Linked DNA regions of Canis lupus familiaris. The protein of the gene in region 1 purifies or fractionates together with the protein of each later gene. This does not show direct contact. Links are inferred from orthologs where the notes say so. Each region holds a gene or a part of one and is shown on either strand. Other genes may lie near its edges.

Evidence for each region.
Region 2: the proteins of MTHFD2 (region 1) and HRAS purify together in Homo sapiens (co-immunoprecipitation; 4 studies listed by BioGRID and IntAct, with this or other methods). This does not show direct contact. The link is inferred for Canis lupus familiaris from reciprocal best matches to the Homo sapiens genes MTHFD2 and HRAS.

What each region holds. Positions count from the first base shown.
Region 1 is NC_049238.1:49,390,794-49,402,484, reverse strand, and holds the start of MTHFD2 (bifunctional methylenetetrahydrofolate dehydrogenase/cyclohydrolase, mitochondrial), read left to right. Parts: upstream 1-4,403; 5' UTR 4,404-4,455; coding exon 4,456-4,556; intron 4,557-10,244; coding exon 10,245-10,429; intron 10,430-11,568; coding exon 11,569-11,691. UniProt on the Homo sapiens protein: Although its dehydrogenase activity is NAD-specific, it can also utilize NADP at a reduced efficiency.
Region 2 is NC_049239.1:25,989,995-26,001,631, reverse strand, and holds HRAS (GTPase HRas), read left to right. Parts: upstream 1-5,693; 5' UTR 5,694-5,748; coding exon 5,749-5,859; intron 5,860-6,037; coding exon 6,038-6,216; intron 6,217-6,339; coding exon 6,340-6,499; intron 6,500-6,586; exon of another isoform or gene 6,587-6,594; coding exon of another isoform or gene 6,595-6,657; exon of another isoform or gene 6,658-7,134; coding exon 7,135-7,254; 3' UTR 7,255-7,567; downstream 7,568-11,637. Other genes in the region: LRRC56 (leucine-rich repeat-containing protein 56), read right to left, coding at 373-549; uncharacterized protein LOC119864195, read right to left, coding at 10,667-10,788, 11,427-11,544. UniProt on the Homo sapiens protein: Involved in the activation of Ras protein signal transduction. Ras proteins bind GDP/GTP and possess intrinsic GTPase activity.

The DNA.
Region 1 (11,691 bases):
AAGTACTCAGTGGAGGGCAGGGCAAAGGAAGAGTAGAGTAGAAAAGCTAGTTGAGCCCAACTGGTAGAAAGCCCTGAGCACCTGCACCCCACAGAATTGGACTAAAGATCAGAGCATAAAGTATTTTTGTCAAATGAATGGTATTTCAATATCATTGGAATGTCCTTTCAATATCATTTACTTCTTGGGAGCATAGAAGTAAATCCTTGTGTTAAGTGTATTAAAAATATAATAATGCTCTCTAGCTTCACTCTTAAGAGTTCAAACTTTGGGAAATTCCAAAATCTCCAAAACTTTCCAAGTGTTGAGAGAGGGTTAGGTATCCAGACACGCTTGGTTCCTTTCCCTCCTCACAGCCTCTGCTGAAAGGTCGAAGCAACTAGAAGGCTCTCCTCATCATAGCTGTCTGGGCACAGGTTCTACAAGTCATCATGCTCAGTCTTAAAATCTGTAGGACATGCTCTTGAGTTAGAGACAGATGGGGCTAGGCAGAGAAAGATAAGGGAAAGGCCCAAAGTTGGGATCCCATAAATCTCTGGGCTCCCATAAATCCCAAGGACACCAAAAGGCCCAGAGTCAGGCTCTTACCCATCCCAATGAAACAGAGATAAGGCAGCAAAAACAGAGAAAAAAAAATTAAAAATAAATCTGGCTCCCTAGCTCCAAAATTTTAGGGAGTATCTCCCCTTGATGGTTCCCAAGTAATCATAGAAACTCACCAGACCACAAAGAAGTAAGTCATTAAAGGTGTTATCAAATAGTCCTTCCTCAAACCAAGACTGCACAAGAATCTCAAGGCCACAAGCTTTGTAATCAGTTCTCAATCCAAGACTGCCACTAAACGCCCTCAGTGGCAACCCTGTCAGGACTCCTCTCACTTCTGAGAGCTTTCTCTCTATCTTTGCCTAATAAACTTCTTTTTTTTTTTTTTTAAAGATTTTATTTTTTTTATGATAGTCACAGAGAGAGAGAGAGAGAGGCAGAGACACAGGCAGAGGGAGAAGCAGGCTCCATGCACCGGAAGCCCGATGTGGGATTTGATCCCGGGTCTCCAGGATCGCGCCCTGGGCCAAAGGCAGGTGCCAAACCGCTGCGCCACCCAGGGATCCCTTTGCCTAATAAACTTCTATCGCTTTACTCACTCTCTGTTGTCCATGAGATTCATTCTTCGACTCTGTGAAACAAGAATCAAGCTCTCCCGTATCTCTCTGACCTACACAGTCCTTCACATCTGCCCTCTTGAGGGTTCTCAGTACCACATTTTTTTTCTTACCTTCTTTTCTTGTTCACTGTATGTCTACCTTATCCCTAAGTGCCATGAGGGTAGAAATCTTACTGGTCTTTTTCTTTTTTCACTTGTTCTTTTCTTTTCTTTAATATTTATTTATTTATTATTTATTTAGGAGAGAAAGAGAGAGAGAGTAACCAAGTGGTAAGTGGTGGGGAGGGGAAGAGGGAGAAAGAATCCTGAAGTGGACTCCCCACTGAGCATGGAGCCAGAAGTGTGCTTGATCCCAGGACCCCCGACATCATGACCTGAGCTGAAACCAAGAATTGGTAGCTTCACCAACTAAGCCACCCAGGTGCCTCCACTGGTCTTTTTCTTTTTTTTAATTTTGAAAAAATTTCAGACACATAGAAAGGTTGCAGGAAAAGTTCAGAGAATGCTTGTATGCTCTTCACCTACTTCCCGGTTGTTAATATGTTACATTTGCCATATGCTTTCTCGGTTTCTCTCTTTATATATCTACATCATTATGGACTGCACTGTGCCTTCCCCCAAATTCATTTGTTGAATCCCTAATTCCCAGTACCTTAGAATGTGACTGTATTTGGAAATAGAGCCTTCAAAAACATAATGAAGTTAAAATGAGATGGTTAGAGTAGCTCCAAATCCAATCTGATTGGTGTCCTTATAAGAAGAGGTGATTAAGACATCCGGAGAGAGATAGCTGAAGTGTACTGCCATAAAGAGAAGGCCATGTGAGGACACTGAGAAGGCAGCCATATGCAAGGCAAGGAGAGAGGCCTCAAGGGAAAAAACAAACAAACAAACCCTGCCAACACCTTGATCATGTATTTCCAGCCTCCAGAACTGGGACAAAATAATTTTCTGTTGTTTAGGACACCTGGGCGGCTCAGCGGTTAAGCATCTGCCTTTGGCTCAGGGCGTGATCCTGGAGACCTGGGATCGAGTCCCACGTGGGGCTCCCTGCATGGAGCCTGCTTCTCCCTCTGCCTATGTCTCTGCCTTTCTCTCTGTGTCTCTCATGAATAATTTTTTAAAAAAATTTCTGTTGTTTAAGCTACCCAGTCTGTGATATTCTGTAGTGACACCCTTAAAAAACTAATATTTATATGGGTGACCCTTGAACCACCTAAATTTGAATTGCTTGAGTTACCATGTAGAATTTTTTCAATAAATACAGGACTATAATGTATTTTTCTCTTCCTCGTGGTTTTCTTGGTAATGTTTTCTTTTCTCTAGCTTACTTTATTGTAAAAATATATATGGTATAATACATATAAAATATGTTAATTGACTGTTCATGTTATTTGGAAGGCCTTTGGTCAACAGTAGGATACTAGTAGGATATATATAGAATATATATACACATTTCCTGAACCATTTGAAGACATGATGTCCCTTTATTTCTAAAGGCAAGTACTTTCTTTTATGTAATCACAATATAATTAGCTAAAGCAGGAAATTAACACTGATATGCTATTAGCTGATCTACAGATTTATTAATATTTGCTAATTGCCCTGTAATATCCCTTAAGCAAAGAGAAAGGAAAAAGAAAAATGAAATAAAGAAAAGAAAAATAATTTTTTGGTCCCAAATCACACATTTGTCATGTCTAGAGTCATCTAAAACGGTACATCATTCTTTGTTTTTCATGACTTTGACATTTTTTCAAAGAGTACAGGCCGCTTTTCTTGTAGTATATCTTTCAGTTTGGATTTGTTGGATATTTCCTCGAGATTAGATTAAGATCTAATAATATATTCCAAAATTTCAGGAATATGGCTTTTTCCTGGACTGTTTTAATATTCCAGGTCTGTGTTCTCCCCTCTCGATGTGTAAATGAAAAATTTATAACATTTTTTAGGGAACTTAATGGTTTAGAAAAACCACTTCGTTCAATTTTCAGACTTGTTAAGAGTTATGAATTGATGTGTCCTCCTTAATGCACCATATTGTGTGTTTGTCTCCTTAATGATGGTGTAATTTGCACCTCTTGTTTAAGGTCATGACTTTCAGGGCCGTGTGAGTGGCTCAGCGGTTAAGCATCTGTCTGCCTTTGGCCCAGGGCATGATCCTGGAGTCCCAAGATCCAGTCCTGCACTGGAGCCTGCTTCACCCTCTGCCAGAGTCTCTGCCTCTCTCTCTCCCTGATGAGTGAATAAATAAAATCTTAAAAAAAAAAAAAAAAAAGGTTACGACTTTCAGGTTTCCCTGTTGTAAGTTTATTATTTCCCCCCTTACTATTAATAAGTATTTTGTGGGAGAGATTCTTCAACACTTTATTTTTACTTTATTGTAAAAATATATATGATATAATACATATAAAATATGTTAATTGACTGTTCATGTTATTTGGAAGGCCTTCTGCAAAAAGGATAGCCAGATAAAATACAGGAAGCCCAGTTTACTTTTAATTGCAGATGACCATCGAATACCATCCTTTGTCTTTTCAAAAAAATTTACTTGAGAGAGAGAGTGAGCGCGCGAGACAGCCCGAGCAGGGGCAGAGGGAGAGGGAGAAGCAGGCTCCTCGCTGGGCAGGGAGCCCGCAGTGGGGCTCAATCCAGATCCCTCCATCCCAGGACCAGGAGATCGCGACTTGAGCCACCCGGGTGCCCTAATACAGCCAATGCTACCCTAATACAAGTATGACCCTTCCTCCTAAATTATTTATCTAAAATTCAAATTTAATGGAGTGTCTTGCATTTTTGCTTGCAAGATCTGGCATAACCCAGCAAGTTCATCACCTTGTTCCTCATCCAGTTTGATCCAGTTGTTTTGACATCCATCGATGATGGACGTCGCTATGATTTCACTATGATTTTGCCAAACAGTTTCTTTGTAACTGCATCACTCTTCTATCCGCCTGTGTTTCTATCCCCTATTTTACGGCGCCTGGCACGCGGCAGGCGCTCCGACACTCGTTCCAGCGATGAATGAACCAACTCTCGCCGGCGCTGGCCGGGCTTGGGGACGCGGGCCGTGTCGGGCAGGGGCTTGCCTTCCTCAGCCAACCACTGCGGGCTCCCGAAGCTTCCGAGCCTCCCCGGCCCCGCGGCTGGCTCCTCTTGCTCCAATCACAAGCCGGGCCTTGCTGGGAGGGGCCAATGGGTGCCGGCGGGAGGCGGGGCCTGCCACGCGGCGGCGGTATAACCGCGCGGCCCGCGCGCGCGCTTCTCTCCCGGGGCGGACGTCGGCGCGGGTGATGGCTGCTGTTTCCATCGCGTCCACGTTGGCCATCCGGCTCCTCCGGCCGGCGCGGAGCTGCCGCCTCCGCCATCGCCCCTTCCACCTCTCGGTAGTTCGGTAAGAGGGTGCGGGAGCTGGGTCGGCGCCGAAAGCCGAGGGGAGCCGCGGGTGGGGGGCCGCCCCGGCTCCCGGGGGCGCCGAGGGACGTTCGGCTGAGCATCTCCGTCCCGGGCGGCGACGGGGCGACGTGGCAGCCGAGCGCGGCCGCAGCCTGCGACCCGGGCGCTCGCTCCGTCGGGCGGGCGGATGCCCGGAGCCATCCTTTCCGAGGGAAGGGGTCTCCGCCACCCCGGGGCGTCGCCCTCTCCCGGGGCCAGTCCGTGGGCGGGACGGGGCCCCCGGAGCGAGCCAAGGCGCGGGCGGGCGCGGTAAGGCCCAGACTAACGCGGCGGCGTGCGGAGGTGACCGGCCAGAACGCGCCGGCCGCCCGTGGCCGTGTCGCTGGCGGCTCGGGCGAGCGCCGCGAAGGGCTCTCGGAGCAGCCCCGAGTGCGCGCCGGGATCCTAGCGGCGGGGGGAGTCGGTGCAGTCTGATGAAATCCGCGAGCCGGCTTGCTCGCCCGCTACCCGCGCTGCCCTCCTCCTTCGGGAGGTGGACGTAGCTCCCGCTGCTCTTCAGGCGGCCCCTTTCCCTCCCGAGAGAATAAATGTGCTGTGGTCTCCAGGGCTTTGATGCGGTCCACCCGGAGCTAGTCCCCGCCGGGCTGAGTAAATTGAAGGGAAAAATACCCGAGAGGAGGAGAGAGCGAGCTCTGATTGCCTTTTCTCAGCGAGGTCATAGGTTGTTGGTTTTTTTTTTTTTTTTTTTTCCCCTTTCCCATTTTTCCAGACCTCGAACTCCCATTCTTAAACCTAGGTTGAAGAGCCTTCTGGGGGCCTGTGATTTCTCTCCCTAAATCTGCGCACTCTCTCGCGCATCTTTAGAGCCTTGCGTTGCCAGTGGGCTGAGCCTTGTAACAGCAGCCCCTTCTTCCGTCCAGGCACTGCGCTAGGCTGTGTGAATTCAGGGATCATCGTAAGTCTTTTCTCCTAGTGGAACTCCCTTTAGAACACGTGTGTACTTTCCATTCAGTGTAAAAAAAAAAAAAAATGTTACAAGAAGCATTGCCACTGTGCTGTTGTAGCACAGCATGCGGATTAAGGTGTCCTTGAAAGAAGACCCGGGCTTTTGTTCTGACCCTGACCTGTCTTCCTGGCCCCATCCCCCGTTACTGTCTGTTCTCCTCCCCGAAGCTCCCTTCCTGAGTTCTGGCCTCGTGTGCCTGTGGCTTTCATGATTGAAGAGATTTCTAAAGATCCTCTAATTCATCACCTAGAAAACTGGACCAGTTTGTTCACTCTTCAGTAACAAATGCCCTCCTTTCACTTGTGTTTCTGAATGAACTAGTAGGCTTCCTCATGTCTGAAGGCAATATTATGGTATTTATGGTTTCCTTGTATTGCTTTGATCACTGATGGCTAGGAAATGTAAAACAATAATATCTTTTATGAGTCTGCATGCATTCCTTTTGGGGGTGGTGGTGGAGGGTTTCAGGAACATAGACTCCTGGTTGGAGAGCTAGTGCTATAGTAGACTGGGGTGTAGGGGAAAATGGAACTTTGGAGACAGAGGGTTGTTTGTGTTTGAATCTTACTTTCTACAGTCCTCACTTTCCCCTTTTGTATGCCAGAGTTAGTATAATAGCCTAAGGTAAGTGAGACTAATGTGTGTAAAGTTCTTAGCAAAATACCTAGTGTTTAATGGATATTAGTTGCATCCCCCTTTGTATCTTTCTTTACTCATTACTGGTTCCATTAATTAGTAGATAACTGAACTCTTTCTAGAATAACCTGTTCATGAATTGTAAATTGCACCTGGTAATTAATTTTTTAAAAATATTTTATTTATTTCAGAGCCAGAGACAGAGAGAGGCAGAGAGAGAAAGAGCACAAACAGGGGGAGGGGCAGAGGGAGAGGAAGAAGCAGACACCCCTCTGAGTAGGGAGCCTGATGCAGGATTCATTCCCAAGACCCTGAGATCATGACCTGAACCAAAAGCAGACACTTAACTGACTGAGCCACCCAGGCTCAGTTAATTATCACTCCCGATAATTAATTTTTTATGGAAGATTACAGTGCTCTGAAAAGCTATTGAATTAAAAAAGTGAAGATGCTACTGAGTTGGATTTAATTTTATTTGAACAGTCCTTGCAACTTCTTTCTAGTCTATTCATTCATTTTATTTTATTCTCACTCATAATTTTTTTTAAAATATTTTATTTATCTATTCATGAGAGACACAGACAGAGAGAGAGAGGCAGAGACACAGGCAGAGGGAGAAGCAGGCTCCACGCATGGAGCCCGATGTGGGACTTGATCCCGGGACTCCAGGATCACACCCTGGACCAAAGGCAGGCGCCAAACCGCTGAGCCACCCAGGGATCCCCTCTCACTCATAATTTTAATCAATTATTAAACATATCCGTGAAACGCGTTTAATTCCTACATAAGTGTTAGCTAGTATAGTTAATACATTTTGGATTTCCTGTGGGACTGTGGTGAGCCTCTTCTTCTCTTTCTTTTGGGGTAGCAGTTGCTTTATCTGCCCTTTGGCAAAAGAGATGATGGGAAATTAGGTAATGACTCACTGGCAGGACTGTGTTTCACATTTTGCAGAGTTGTATATGTAGAGGAGGGCTAAAACACCTTATATTAGAGAAGATACTCATTGTGTTGTGGCTTTGTTTTTGGTTCTTGTTGCTCTCTAACAAGCTTTTTAAAAGCTAATTGGCATAACATCCAGAACCTGCCTTTGGCACTTGGAACACTGGGTTCTCCCAGAACCCTGTGTTCTTAATTTTAGTATATCATTCTTAGCTCAAATGTGCTGCTACCATTTTGTCTAAGTGTATTGCTTTCAGATTTTTAAAAAAATATTTTAATTATTTATTTGAGAGAAAGGGAGTGCTGGGGTGGGGAGGGTGGGAGCAGAGGGAGAGGGAACCAGCTTGTAGCCATATGGGGGGGTGAGTAGTGTCTATCCCACAACCCTGAGATCATGACTTGAGCCCAAGGCAGACACTTAACTAACTGAACCACTCAGGCGCCCCTTAAAAGGAACTTTTTAAGAAAATGCAATTAAAGACACACATATCCTTATGAGTGTGTAAGTAAATATATATATGCTATATTAAGGATATGCATGTGTGTAAATCTAACCAATGAAAGAGAGTAAGAAATTAATGTTTCTTGAATATATGTGCCTTGTACTTTATGTTATTTCATTCAGTATAAATCATTGTCGTAAGCTCTTTTATTTTTTTTTTTTATATTTTTAAAAGATTTTATTTATTCTTGAGAGACACAGAGAGAGAGAGAGAGAGAGAGAAGGAGAGACACAGGCAGAGGGAGAAGCAGGCTCCACGCAGGGAGCCCGATGTGGGACTCGATCCCAGGACTCCAGGATCACACCTGGGCCGAAGGCAGGCGCTAAACCGCTGAGCCACCCCGGGATCCCCTGTCGTAAGCTCTTTTAAAATAATCTTTCATTCTACAGCATTCCAGGGTTGGGAATGCATTTCTGGACTGGAGCTGTTCCCCAGGAATGTTGCTAGAGGTGTTTGTATCCAAAGCCCTTTGAATGAAGCCACTTCAACTCTAAATCTAAAATAGATTTGCGAATGTTAACATGTTTTCAGTTCCTTATATACCATGTGTATATGTGAAATGCTATTATCTATTTTGTGCTATGCTTGTGTTATTACATAAAATTTGGGTAATAGTACTTGGTTTCCTATAAAATGTTATCTTTTTACTACCCCCAAGATATAAATACAAATTAATATAAGGTTTAGATATGAAATTACCCCTTTATATCTAAGACATTTCAGTCTGGTTTAAAATAGGTATTTAATCTTAATGGAAAGAAGCATGGAAGGTTTAAAGACTGTTGAAGCTTTAAAATTCCATTTTAAATAACAGTGGTCTTAAAAATGAATCATACGTGGGGTGCCTGGCTGGCTCAATGGGTGGAGTGTGCTACTCTTGATCTCAAAGTTGTCAGCTTGAGCTCCATGCTTGGTGTAAAGATTACTTAAAAATAAAATCTTAAAAAAAAAAAAAGAATTCTATCTGACCATACAAGATAACCAGTACCTTGGTGTTATCCCTGAGAATTGGATATGTGCTATAAGGGGAAATTTTCTTAATATTTCAGACAATCATGTGTCTCATTGGTCTTGAGGTTGAAGCATCCTTCATTGATACTGAGACTGAAAACTAAAGGGAAAGACTTGTTTCCACTGAGAGCTTTATGCTTAAGGAGCAGGTGCTTAGCGCACATGAAGTATTGGGAACTTGTAAGGACATGTATGGAAATAAGAAAGGCAGGAATCTTCCACATTAGAACCCAGGAAGAGCTGCATAAACAGTTCCTGTTGGGAAGCAGTGGCCTCTCAGAGGTCTGAACATGGTTTTGGGAACTGGAGGTTCTTTCAGACCCTGACTTTTCTCGTTGCCCCTCCAATAGCAGTTTCCACCTCTCTTGCTCCATCTACTATGAGCGTGATCGCTGTTCTGTTTCTACTTTTTTCTTTTCTTTTTTTTTAAAGATTTATTTATTTATTTTATGATAGACATAGGGAGAGAGAGAGAGGCAGAGACACAGGAGGAGGGAGAAGCAGGCTCCATGCCGGGAGCCTGATGAGGGTCTCAATCCCGGGACTCCAGGATCGTGCCCTGGGCTAAAGGCAGGCGCCAAACCGCTGAGCCACCCAGGGATCCCCTGTTTCTACTTTTTTTCTACGGCTTTCTTCAGCTTCTCCTACCAACAAGTCCTCCGGTTTGAGTGTGTGGATGTGAAGAGCTTTCGGGGAGAAGCTCTTATCAGTCTAGTTACCTACCACTGCTGCTGTTGCCGTGAGCTTTTGCACCAGCTGGACCAGTGGCCTGCCTAGAAATTGTTGTCCCTAGTGTCAGATACTCCTGGTCTGTGGCTACCAGGGCCCCAGGGTAGAGCACACTGCCACCCATGGGATAGAACCTCCTCTAGTCCCCTGCCAGCCCTTATTCTCACTGGGAAAGTCTTCTCTAGGAGGGCTGTGGGGAGCAATGGTAATTTTGAGGTTTGGCCTGTCCAGAATATTGTTTATTGGTTTAATTGCATGACATAATTTATATATGTGAAAGCATCACAGAAACTCAAAGCCAATTGACTTAACTAGGAAATGGTTTGAAACATATGACTGGATGCTAATAACATGTACAAAACACAGACTACAAAATGGTATATAAGCATATAGGAAACACCATTAACCTCTTAGTGGTGACGGGTCAAATAAAACAGTGCAAATTAAAACAGTGGGAAACTTGGCGGAGGGGGGGGCGGCGTCTATCATTTTGTCAGGGGGCAGGGGGCAGGATGGTATAGTGGTGAGAGCCTGGACTCTGGATTCAGAGAGAGCTGGATATGAGACCCAGCTTTGCCAAGTACTAGCCTTCACTCACGTAAACTCTTCAAGCTTCAGGGTAATGCTAGTAACTATGTCAGTCAACGTTATCTTTCTGAACAAGTAGCTAGACACAGATTTGTCACTTTGAGACTGCCCTTCAGATTTCTGTTGTCCCTCAGATTAGGGACCATGTGTTTGAATCTACTCTTTAAGTTTGGGGTAGTTAATAACTTTTTTTTTTTTTGTAATCTGATCTTTTTTAGTTTTCCCAGAAATTTAAGCTATTTGGTTTTGTGACTGTTGTTGCATTCTGCAGAGATGAAGCTGTCATCATCTCTGGAAGGAAACTTGCCCAGCAAATCAAGCAGGAAGTGCGGCAGGAGGTGGAAGAGTGGGTGGCATCAGGCAACAAGCGGCCGCACCTGAGTGTGGTTCTGGTTGGTGAGAATCCTGCAAGTCACTCCTATGTCCTCAACAAAACCAGGGCAGCTGCCGAAGTGGGTATGTGTCACTCTCAGACCCTGACTGCTGTTAAATTGTGGCTTATCTGAGGCGAACTCCATTGTCATTCATGATTCGTTTTTCTGATTAGAAGACTCAAGCAGAGGAAGCTGATGTGATTGAACTGTATCCAGAATGTTGTCATAAAGAAGTTAGGCCTTTCTGCCTGGGAGGCTTATAAACTAGGATGGAAAGAAAATGGTTGGTATTCTCAGTGTCTCCTGGATTGTAAGCTAAATTCTGTCTTTAGTCTTAACATTTGACAAGTGACCTTGAACACAGTTTACATCTGCTTTTCTTGAGCAATAAGGAGAGTCTGGCTGAGATGTTTGAGCACTTGGTTAAGGAGGCCTCAGTGATGTGGCCTAGAACACAGTCCTAGGGTTTGAAGGAAAAGACTGACTGCTGGGAAGTAGCTTTCAGCTTCTCTACCAACTTAGTCCAAAGCCAATTAAATCATGTGGTGTTAGAGTTTTGAATGCAGAAGCTGAGGGTCTGGGTGATGGGAGGTTTGTGTTGTAGGTCTCACTATACCACTGACTCTGTGTGATGGTAGATCAGGGGTGTAGGCTTGGCTCTGCCTCTTCCTCCTCCTCTGTGGGTCAGTGGTGTGAGCCCTGGGTGTCCTTCTTTCCTGAGAGGTTGTGAAACCACTGGTGTGGCTGGGCCATGTGCCTGGGCTGTGAGTCCTTGGTATACTCTGTTCTTTATCACTGAGGATTGAGGCCTCCTGCTCTTTTCATCGAAAAACTTTTGGAACCTCTAGAAAATAGCAAGCTGTGGTTTCTTAAGATGCTGGGAGGAAACACTATGCAATAGCAACAACAGGGGCTCTGGAACTGGAAGGATTGCCTTCATCACTGGCTGGCTTGTGTTTCAATTTTGCTGAGCCTCAGTCTCCTTGTCTATAAATAGAGGTTCATGAGGATAGTGTAGAATAATGTAGAGAATTGTCAAGCCAACATCCTCTAGCATGTATATTTGTGAAGTTACTTTTTTAGGTGACTTGGGAACTTTTTAGCTACCAGGGTTGGTGTGATGAAGAACCTCTATGTTAGAATGCCATGGCAGGCAACATAGCATTGCTCAGTAAATGCCTTGAGATATATATATATTTTAACGTTGGAATTTTCTTACAGGAATCAACAGTGAGACAATTGTGAAACCAGCTTCAATTTCAGAGGATGAACTATTGAATTTAATCAATAAACTAAATAATGATGATAATGTAGATGGCCTCCTTGTTCAGCTGCCTCTTCCAG
Region 2 (11,637 bases), on another chromosome or scaffold:
CCTGCCCTGGGTGCAGGGTGCCCTACTTAGCCCGCGGTTTCAGGGAGCCCTGGCAGCTTGCACCTGCTGTGCGCCCCGCACCTGGACGGTCTGCCGCCCGGCCTCCCCCCAGAGCAGCAGCTGCTCCAACTAGGGGCTTCCCTGGCTCCCGGAGCGGTTCGCGGAGCGGCTGCTGATGCCTGGCCCACGGGTGCACTGGGCGATGCCTGCCAGCCTCCCTGCCTCGCTGTCCCCGATGCCTGGGGCGGCCCTGAGGACGCCGCAGGGCTGAGAGCGTTCATCCAGGCCAGAGGGCTGGCTGGACATCGGGCCTGGAACAGTGGTGCCCCATGCAGACCCCTGCGGCCTGAGCCCCAGCCCCCCAGCGCTCACCAGTCGGGCAGGTGACAGGTACTCCTGTACCAGCCGCTCGCCATGGCTGTCCCTACGGCTGCCCGGGTCCTTGCTCTGTGGCCGAGGGTTGTACGGTCCTTGCCAGCCCAGCTCCCGCACTCGAACAGCGGCTGTGCCAGGCCACGGCCCGTGGGCTCTGTTGCAGGCCTGGTCCATTCACATGCAACCTGCTGGGAGAGGCCGAGGGCAGAGCTACGAAGCCTCGGCTCTTGCTCGCACTCGCGGCCTGGCGGTGACCCCGCACGGCAAGCCCGTGGGGTTCCTCCTGCCTGGCTCTGATGGCCTCTCAGCCTCTCAGTCTCAGCCTGCCCGCGGGCTTGGGGGCACCCCATCCTCCAAGGTCCGCAGCGGGGGTGCTGGGCCCAGGCTCCCCTCTCGGAGGTCCTGCCTAGGCTGTAGGCCTGAGGGGGCCACTTGGACCCAGGTCACGTTCGCTCCGTCAGCCGCGGCCGGCAACAAGCCACTGGCTCAGGCCCTGTGTGTGTGTCTCCACACCTGGGGGCCTGGGACCAGGCTCCCAAGCACCCCACCCCTCCACCCACTGAGCCCCCTCACCTGGAGGCACTGCCTCTTCCCACCATGGGTCAAACATCCAGGCACGGAGGCAGCATGTGTCTCCAGGTGGCACCTGCAGGAGGGAGTTGGCGTGGCCTCCTGGCCAGGTCGCTGTGCCCAGGGGACTTGGGACAGGCAGGGAGGAGGTCACAGGGCAGAAGTGGGCAGGTGTGGAGGTGCTTGGGGCTGTCAGTGTAGGCACCAGCCCTCAGGTCCTTTGGATCATCCTGATGGGGCACCTGGACGGGTTGATGAGGAAGACAGTCGGGTGGTGACTGACCATCCTCTCTGCAAAAGGGGTCCCAGGTCTGCCTCTCTGGACTCTCATGGGCTGGCCGCCTAGCACCCTGTCCTTCCCAAGCCCCCTCACCCTCAGGCTCCACGGGAGCCCGTGTCCCTGGACACCTGCGCCAGGCTCACCTGGTACTGCTCCTTAAAGATGCAGATGCCTGGCCTGACCCCAGATCCCAGAATCATGTCCAGGGGTAGAGCCGGAAGTCCGCCTGGAATGTTCTGGGAACGCCCCCCAGTGTGGGTTGAGGCCTCACTGACTCCTGCCCTGTATCCCCTCCTGCCCTTCCTGGATTGACTTTCCGCCTAAGTCTGACTCCTTCTGGGGTCCTCTGTGTTTTACGACGCGTTCCGCTGAGCGAGCCCCAGGCTGCGGGGCCCGGGCAGGCAGGATGCTCACTTCCTGCGCCCGCAACGCACGGGAGAGAGGCTCCCCCCGATTCTCCGAAGGGATTGTGTGGCGCGTGCCCACGCCAGTGCTGCTCTCATCTCTCGGGCCCTGCAGACACTCAAGCCGCACCCTCTCCATCGTGCCTGGGCTGGGGGGTGGCCAGCTGGGCCTTGACAGAGGCGCTGGAGGGGTGCTGCGCGGGCTCTGTGTGCCTCAGTGGCCTCATCTGGAAGGTGACCCATACACCGGGGATCCAAGGAGGTGAAGGCCATGCAGGTGAGCCCCACCATACAGACTCATCGGGTCTCCAGCCAGGATTTCTTTCCAGAAGCTTCCTCTGCCGTCTGCCTTTCTCCAGTGGGCGAAAAGCCCCAAGCCTGGCTGGGGACCTCAGCACGTGCCTCCTGGGACTACGCTGCCCGCTCCCATCCCAGGCCTGCCAGCCTTGGGGTGTGGGGAGTGCAGGGGCTGGTCTGGCTGCAGCCCCAGGAGGCCCGTGGGCAGCATGAAGGGCCAAGCCCGCCGCCCTTTCCTTCTGTGCCTCACAGCAGCCGACCAGCGGTCCTACCCTGGACTGGGCCCAGCGGACGGTCCCATCCGGCCCCAAAAGTCTCGGGTCCAAGGAGCAGGGCCTGGGTCGCTGGCTGCAGCTTGCACGTGCACTGTCCCCTCACGTGCATGCACTGGCTGGACCTGTCCATGCTGCGCGGGGCCCTGCGGCCACCCTGCCTGCCACTCGGGTGGCCTCTCTGCCTCCGTGGCCCAGGCTAATGCCAGCCCTTGGCCTGGCTCAGCAGCAATCTGGGTCCACTCCACGCCTCCCCCCTTCGCTGCAGAGGGAGGGGCGCTGCGGGCAGGGCCTAGTCTCTCCTAGGTCCCCACTAAGGGAGTCTGGGTCGCCACCTCCTCCTCTCCTGCAGGGGCAGAGCCTGGGGTCCCTCCTACCCTGGGGCCTGGGAACTCTTCGGAGCCCGGCTACCGGTCGTGGGCTGAGCCCCTGGAGACCAGATTGGACATCTGGGGGTACCGCTGAGCCCCCACTGGCTTTGCTGCTTCATCCTGGAGCAGCCATCGGCCTCAGTTTCCCCCCAGGCACGGGGGAGGTGCAGCGAGGCCTGAGGCCCCAGGCCCAAAGGTGTGCTGGGCTCTCACCAAAGGGGTCGGTCTCGGTGCCACGGGCCGGGCGCCCTCCGCCGCGGGGCGCGCCTTCCGACTCGGGGTCGTTCTTCCGGTGGCGGGGTTGCGGCCCTGGGCGCCATGGCAACGGGGCCGGGGCATTATTTGAATGCTCAAATATTCATGAGCCCGCGGGACTCTCCGAGGCTCCGCGGTCGAGCCACGCCCCTTAGCAACGGCTGCTAGGGCAGGCCGGGGGCGGGGCGACCGCGGGCGCATTCGGGGCCCGGAGGGTAGGGCCCCACGTCGTGGGCTCCCGTGGGCTGGGAGGGAGCCGGGGCGGAGGTGAGGCCCCACCGGGCGGGGTACCAGCGCGGACCGGCCGGGTGTCAGCGCCCGCGAAGGCGGTTATCAGGCGGAGCCCAGCGCCCACCTTTCCCGGCCCTGGCCCTGCGGGAGGGACCCCCTCCTCTAAGGGTGGCGATGCCAAAACAAAAGGAAAGCGCCCCCGAAGACGAGGGAAATGCAGACCTGGACACCGGGAGGGGTTTGGGGTGTCCGCGCTCTCGGGGGACGCCGCCACTCGCTTTCACTGCCGCTCCTTGACTCCGCGTCTGTGCGCGTCAGCGGGCGCCGGGCTCTGTCCTAGCCACCGCGCAGTGCACGGGCCGGCCAACCGGCCACGGCCTCGGCACGTGCTGTAGGCGATGTGTGCGGGCGGGGCAGCCCCCCCCCCCCCGAGGGGCCCGCCAAGGTCACGGCCTGCAGTGGGAGGGGCTCCACGAGAACAGCGCGCGCCGGCACCGGAGGGGGCAGGACGGGAGGGCGGGCAGGGCCGCCAGAGCGGGGCCAGCCTGGGCCTCCTGCGGGCTGCACCGTTCTTCCTTTTTGTAAACAAGCACGGTGTGTTGATGCACTACTTTGAAATTTAAAATAAAATGTCGAAACCACGTCTTTTTTGAAAGTCTGGAAAAGATGCGGGGTGTGCGTGTTCGCGCTCCGGATGGGGGAGCCGTCGGCACGCAGCCCTCGGGCAGCTTTCGGGCTGGTTTGCAGAGGGCCCATCGTTAACTGGGCCCCGCGCAAGCGTCTGCAGGGCCGGAGCCTCCGGGCTAGGGGGCTGGGCGGGCCGGCCTGCAGGGGGAGGCTGAGGAGAGGGGCGAGGCTGCGGCCCAGCGAGACCCCTGGGGCGGGATCAAACGATGCTCCGCGCCGCGCTGCCCCTTGTGGCCTGGGCGCCCCGGGTGCCGCGCGCACGACGAAGCCGAGGTGCCAGGCGCCCGTTCCGGAGCCACCTGATGGGAACGGGGGTGTAGGGCACCGAGCCCCGGCCATGAGGCCCCAGAGCTCGGGGCGCGGCCCGGCCTGCCCCGGCGCCCGCCTCCCGTCCCGGCCGTCCGCCCGGCGCGCCGACCCTGACCCTCCTCGAGCCTCGTCTCCCGGCCTGACCCCTCCGCTGGGCCTCGCGGCGCAGGGAGCCCCCCACCGCGGGACACGGGCTCCCGCCGGTCTGCAGCGCCCCCGCCCCGGTGCACCGCCGCCCGCGGTCCTGTCGGGCAGCTCCCCGCGGAGGCCGCCGCCCCGGCCCGCGCCTCTCGCGCTCCCGCCGAGCGCCCGCGGGCGCAGCCCAGCCCCCCCAGGCCGCGGCCCACGAGGGCCTCCGGGGCCGGGCACCGCCCTCCGCGCCGCTTCCCGGAAGCCCCGCCCGGCCGCGGCCCGTGACGGGCGGGCGGGCCGGCCAACCGGCGCGGGGCGGGGCGGGCCGGGGCGGGGCGGGGGCGTGGCCCGACGGCCGCGGCCAATGGCGAGCCGCGCCTGCGTGACGGACGGGCGCGGGGCGGGGCGTGCGCGCCCTCCCCCCCGAGTGTCCGCCCGCCCGCGCCCGCAGCCCGCAGCCCGAGCCGCACCCTCCGCGGACGGAGCCCATGCGCTGGGCGAGCCGCGCGCCCCGGCCCCGGCCCCCTTCCCCGCCCCCGCCCCGGCCCCGGCCCCGGCCCCGGGGGCAGTCGCGCCAGTGAGCGGTGAGTGCGGCGGGGGCGGCGGGCGGCGGGGCGGGGCGGGGGCGGCCGGGGCTGCGGCGCCGGGCGGTGGAGGCGGCGGCGGCGGCGGGGCGCGCGGGGGCGCAGGTGAGCCGCGGGCGGGCGCTGCGGCGGGTGCGGGGTGCGAGGTGCGGGGTGCGGGGGCGCCCCGGGCGGCGGCGTCCGCGCCCTCTCCTCCGCGGGCCGCGTGCGGGGCCCCCAGGTCGCCAGGCGCGCCCCCGAGGCCCGGGCGGCGGGCGGCCTCCGCGATGCACAGCGGGCGAGCCGGGCGTTCGCACCGGAGCCCCGGGCACCGCGTCCCGAAACCTCCCAGACCGGGAGCCGGGCCGGAGGCCGCGGCCCAGCGCCGTCCCCGCGCCTACCCCGCCGGCCTGCTCCCGGGGCCGCCATCCCCGCAGCCCGCCGCTGCTCTCCTGCGAAGCTCGAGCGGCCGCGGGCCTGGGGCTCCCCCCGGGACAGGAGGGCCCGGGCCTCGCCCCCGGAGCAGCAGCTGGCGGCCGCGGGCGCTCCGCAGATGCTAGTCCGGTGCAGCGAGGCGCGGCGGGGCTCTGGCCTGCCCGGGCACGCTGCTGCACTCCGCTGTGGCAGGACCTGTTTCTGCGGGGAGGGGCGGTAATCTCAGCCTGCAGGGCCTCCGGGTCCCTCCAGTGCACGCTTTCTGCCTACCCAGCAACTTCTAATTTGGGTGCGTGGTTGGGAGATGCTCTCAGCTGTCAGCTCTCCCTGCTCTCTCGCAGCCATGAGCGCCGGCGAGGTGCCTACCCCCCCCCCCCCGCCGCCCCCCCCGCTGGAGGTGCCACAGGTGGGCGGCTGCGCCCGGTTCCCTGGTTGTGTGGGGCCTGGGGACCGGGTCGGGGCCGGGGTGGTCTGCCCCACGGGGCTGGCTCAGGGCTGAGAGCAGCTTCCTCAGCAGGTGGGACAGGAGACCTCGTTGGCGTCCTGTGCTGCGTCCCGTGAGGAGCCATGACGGAGTATAAGCTGGTGGTGGTGGGCGCTGGAGGCGTGGGCAAGAGCGCCCTGACCATCCAGCTCATCCAGAACCACTTCGTGGATGAGTACGACCCCACCATCGAGGTGAGCTCGCCCAGCCCTGAGCCTGCTGTGGGCATGTCTGCTGTGGGCTCCGCAGGAGGGCGGCCCCTGCTCGTGGGACCTGGGGGTGGCACCTGGGGACCTAGGAGGGGCTGGTGGCTGGGTGGCCCCGTCCTCGGAGGTGTGGGGCTGGGCGTTCTGAAGCACTGGCCTGCCGCAGGACTCCTATCGGAAGCAAGTGGTCATCGACGGGGAGACGTGCCTGCTGGACATCCTGGACACAGCGGGCCAGGAGGAGTACAGCGCCATGCGGGACCAGTACATGCGCACGGGGGAGGGCTTTCTCTGTGTATTTGCCATCAACAACACCAAGTCCTTTGAGGACATCCACCAGTACAGGTGAGCCTCCGGCCGGCCCTCAGAGCCACCTGTTCCTCTGCCTCTCATCGCGTTTCTCTGTCAGGGTCTCGGATGCAGCCGTGCCTGCAGCCTACCGACTGGCTCCCACCTTCCTTCTTGTAGGGAGCAGATCAAGCGAGTGAAGGACTCTGACGACGTGCCCATGGTGCTGGTGGGGAACAAGTGTGACCTGGCTGCTCGCACCGTGGAGTCCCGGCAGGCGCAGGACCTCGCCCGCAGCTACGGCATCCCCTACATCGAGACGTCAGCCAAGACGCGCCAGGTGAGCCGGCTCCCCACCCCGCAGCTAGCTGGGGACCCGCCCCGCCCCGCCCCTGCCAGGGAGCAGTGCTTATTGCCCCCTCTCCCCCGACACAGGGCAGCCGGTCTGGCTCTGGCTCCAGCTCCGGGACCCTCTGGGACCCTCCGGGACCCCCGTGACCCAGCGGCCCCTAGCGCTGTAAGTGTCCCCGGACGGCAGGGCAGCGAGGGAGGCCGGGGCCCAGGGTTTGGGCTGACACAGCTCCAGGGAGAGGCAGAGGTCCCCAGAGAGAGCTGCCCTGAGCCAGGCCGAGTGGTGACCCTGGGGCCCTGGCCCCTGCCCGCAGAAAGCCCCATGGGCCCGTGTAGGCCCTGCCCTCTTTAATGGGCTGTGGGGGACCAGGGTGGTAGGTCAGACAGGAGCGGGACCCTGGATGTTAGAGCTGGGAGCCAGACCTCGGGGCTGCCCTGTGGGGGAGCTCCTGAGGGCCAAGCCGCCTGATGGGGGGAGCCCTGGGGCTGCCTGTGTGGGGGCGGGGTGGGGAGAGGCCAGGGGGAGCTGGGATGATGCATGAGCTTGACGCTGGGGTCCCTCGGTCCCCTGCGCTGCCAGGCCCCCGGGCCGAGCCGCACGCTCAGCCAGCCCCGTCTTCCCAGGGCGTGGAGGATGCCTTCTACACGCTGGTGCGAGAGATTCGACAGCACAAGGTGCGCAAGCTGAGCCCGCCCGACGAGGGAGGCCCAGGCTGCATGAGCTGCAAGTGCCTGCTGTCCTGACGTCCCCTCCAGGGCCACGTTGGCAGCCCCGCTGGTCCTCTGTGCCCCAGGCGCACAGGCTCGGGGCGAGGAGGTGCCGGAAGCTGGGAGGAGGCGCGGAAGGAGGAAGGAGGAGGGCGAGGAAGGAAGGAAGCGCCCCCGGGGCCCGGCCAGCCCAGGCCCCCTGGACAGGGGGAGCACGGACCTCCCAGGGCGCTTTGCACAGACTGTCGTGAACTGAGGCCACGGGCCCCCCCGGCTGTCACTCTCCCCCAGTCCCGTCCTTGCCCGCGGGGCAAAGGCTGAGTCGCAGTAAATTATTTGATGGTCTTGACCCTGGCGTATGGCCGCACCTGCAAGGCACGTGGGGACGTCAGCTGTGTGTGCCTGGCGGCGCCCCTGCAGGGGCTGGTCGGGGCCGGGAGGTCCCCCCTCCTCCTCTCTGGGGGTGTCTCCACACCCCGTGCACAGAGCTCCGGGAGACGCAGAAACGAGCCGGCCGTGCATTTTCACACAACACCTTATTGAACTTGCAACAGCAAACGGGCTCAGAGCCGAGGGTGTGCGCCTTCCCCTGGGAGACCTTCCTGTCCTTAGAGGAAAGCGGGAATCCCACGGGGGTACGGGTGCTGGAGTCGCCCACTTTGGAGCCTGTGCGGACTCCGGGTGGGGGTGTGTGTCCTGAGGTTGGGGTGTTGAGAGGCGGTTCTGGGGACAGCAGAGCTGGCCTGGACCTGCGGCCCATGGGCTCCTGCTCTAGGTCCCCGCAGGGCAGCTGGACCCCGGCCTCGGGCCCACTGGGGCCGGGTGACTGACTGCTGGAGCCCCAGCACGTGGAGGAGCCTGCCTCCTGGTGTGGGTGCGGGTGGGGCCCACGGGCCTGCCCCTGCTGCCCTGCCCTGGGGTGTCCCGGGATCCCCAGGGCTGCCCTAGGTCAGTGACCTGGATCTGTGGGGCACGCCCAGGGCCCAGGAGGCCACATCCGGCTCTGAGAGGGCTCGCTCAGCCCGGGGCCAGAACGCAGGCCTGGCCAGGGCCCCGGAGCACTGGATCCCATTAGTGCTGGGCCTGGGGGGCAGTTCTCGAGTCGCCCCTGCCCCCACAGAGCCTGGGGCCAGGCCAGCCCAGGTCCCTCTGGGTCAGGGGTTGGTGTCCTGTGCGGGGGGTGCCGCCCTCCGGGAGGGACAGCAAGATGAGGCAGGGCACGGTGACGGCGGGCCAGAGCCTCTGGGCCCCCGCACTCACCACCACGCTCTGCCCGCGAGCATTGAGCTGCCCTGTGGACGCAGAGGGCAGAGGGTCCCGGGCCTGTGCGGGGCCTCGGGGCAGCGGGCTCAGCGCCGCCCTGGCTCTGCCCTGGCTGTGCCCGTCACTGCCCAGCGAGAGGCATGAGCTGCAGTGGCCGCGGGGCAGGAAGGGTGTCCTGGGCCCGACAGCGTCGTCCCTAGGGGGCTGGGGGGACCCCGTGATGGGAGTCCCGGGGGTGCTCCAGGGCCTGGTCCGTCGCGGGGCCTCTGGGGTGGCCCAGGCAGGTGCCGAAGGGAAGGGGACCCCGTTTTTTGTCTTCAAGCCCACCGTGTCCGGGGGCCACCTGCCCGCACCGTCTTGTTACACTGGGAGGGTGGGGAGGGAGTTCCATCGCTGGGGGGGAAGTTGGACGATGGCCTGGCTGGGAGGGGGTCCGGGCGGCTCAGGCTGGGTGGCTGGGCCCGGGGAGGCCTGCTCCTCCACCCTGGGCGGTGGCTCAGAGGCCGGAGAAGGGAGGAGAGGCCTGGGCGCCGGGGACACTCGCTTCAGGCCGAGGGGCCTCGTGGGGAACTCCAGGTCCCGCTGGAAAGAGGCTGACGGGGTCAGCGTCTCCAGCAGGCTATGTGTTCCCCGCTGGGGGCCCCGGGGGTCCTCAGCTCCCTTGTGGCCCCCCCGCCTGACCCTGTGCTCAGCCCCCCACACTGGTGCCCGGGCCCTGCAGTGGGTGCCTGCCCGCCCAGCCCTAGCCTGGAGTCCCCAAGGCTAGAGCAGAAGAGGAGAGCCCCAGAGATGAGGACGGGGGCTCTGTCCCCTTTGGGTGGCCCCAGCAGGCCGAGTCGGGAGGGGCCGGGGCCCTGAGCCCACCTGGGTGGGGGCAGGTCGCACCGCATCCTCCGGAGCTGGGTCATGGAGGCCCGAAGGTGTCTGAGCACCGCCTCGTCCTCCAGGGCCCAGGGCTGGGCCGGAGAGTCCTGGAGGAACTCCCGGAGCCCTTCCAGGGGCAGCTTCAGGAGGCTCTCTGGGCAGTGGGTGAGAGTCAGACCCAGAAGGCCCTGCCCTGGGGCCCCTAGTGCCCCCAGTCCAGCGGCTGGGGTCCCGCTGTGTCCAGGAGCGCCGTGGGCAGTGCGCTGGCCGGGGTGGCCCCTGCCCGCTGCTCCTCTCAGGGAGCCCCACTGCACCCGCCTGCCCCGCCGTCCCCCCCGCCCCAGGTCTGGGTGCTGCTCAGAGCACAGGGTCACCGCCCCTGCCCCCTCCCCACCTCTGGGCTCCCAGGGGCTCACTTACTTGTGTGCACCTTGAGGATGGTGTAGGCCAGGGCCGTGAGCACCCGCTCCCCATCCAGTATGTAAACATCCCACAGCTTCAGGGTGAGTGAGAAGGGGGTCTAGGGGACAGCGGGGTGGGAGGAGCGGCCTGAGCAGGGCCCCTGGGGGGCTTGGCTGGGGCTAAGCTAGGCCTGCCATTTGCCCCCCCGGCTGCCTCCAACGAGGCACCACAGCACCCCCCCCCCCCCCAGTGCGTGCCCTCCTCCCAGGGAGATCAGGACTCCCGGCCGCTCCGGGTTCCGACCCCGGCCAGCACCTCCCGCACCCCTGGGGGCACAGACTCTGCCTGCACTTGACGACACCACGCCTCGAGAGGACCCCAGGCTGGCCGCCCGATGGGCCGAGGGCCCGTCTACACCCCGGGCTGACTTGGCCTCCCCCAGGGGAGCTGAGGCAGAGACGGCCCGCCCCCCGGAACCTCGTCCAGGGACCCTCTGGGCTTCTCCAGGACGGGCTGGGCTGCGAGCCTCAGCCTCAGGGCCCCGGGGTCCGGCCTGGCTCGTCTGGAGGGTGGGGCTGAGCTGGCCCTCCCCGGGGGCAGGGGGCAGGTCCGGGAGCGGGGTTCCTGGGGGGCCTCACTCGGCTGAGGAAGCACTGCAGGAACCACTTTGGGGTATAGATGCCGGTGGACATCTGCTCCTCGTCCTGGCGGGAGGGCAGGAGGTGCTCAGGCCCCACACCGCAGCCCCTGGAGCCCGTTGTTGCGCTCCCCACAGCCCTGCCCAGCCCCGAGGGTGCCCCTGGGCCCCAGGGGAGGAACGTGACCCCAACTCTGGGCAGCTCGGAGGGCCGTGCCCCCCACCCCCTGCCCCGGACCCCGGGGACGGAACCTCAGGAGCTCCCATGTGCCATGTGCTTCCTCAGGTCGGGGAGAGCTCTTTGGAGGACGCGCTGGTGATGAGCCTGGAACCTGAGGAGCTTCTGGAAGCCTGGGACGAAGAAGCCTGAGAAGGCCCCAGGCCCCCACGATCAGGGCCTCCTCCTGCACCAGGTGGGGTGAGGGGTGTCGGGGCAGGGGCCTACCCCCACGCCCTGACCCCCATGTGCCCACCGCCCTCGGAGCCCTGACTGGACCGGCTCTTCCCAGAGGGCAGGGCTGCCTCTCAAGCCGGGGGTGTGGGGCCGGGGACCCTCGTCCTCACAGAGACCCCGCGGGGCGTGGGCTGGGGGCTGAGGACCAGGCCCGGCTGACCCAGCACCCTCTCTCCTGCAGGGGCCGCCGCGGGGACAGGCGGGTCCCCAGCCCCGAGGGGCAGCGGGTGTAGGCCATGGGGAGGGTGATGGGCGTGCATGGCCCTCTGTGGGGCTTGGGAGTGAGGCTGGGGGCCCCCGGGAGGGGGAGATGCTGCCCCCTGGGCCCCGTGTGGCTGTGGGCTGGCAGGGGGGCCTGGGGGGCAGGCAGCCGGGCGGGAGGCTGGGGGAGCAGCGGGACTGCGAGCCTGGCCTGCAGACGGTGGGGTGGGTGGCCGTGGCTCCGGGACCCGGAGGCCACCGGGGAGGCGGGGCTCTTGCCCGTGGAGGGGGCGGGCTGGGGGGGTCCCCGCCTGCCCCCAGGTGCAGCAGCCTGCAGGGAGGCCCTCCTAAGCTCCTCTCCCGCCCGGCGGCCCGGTGGGCCCCTACCGTGCATGGCATGCCTGTCGTCTGTCATCAGCTGGGCCAGCGCCCAGAAGGCGTTCTCGGGCAGGAACATGAGGACGATGGCCGCGATCTCGCTCATGCCCTGGCAGTAGCCCACCTCCTGCAAGAGCCAGAGCCCCACGGAGGGCGTGCACCCCGAGGCCTTTTCTGATCCCTCCCCGCGGGTGTCAGGCTCCCCTGGCTCCCTCACAGC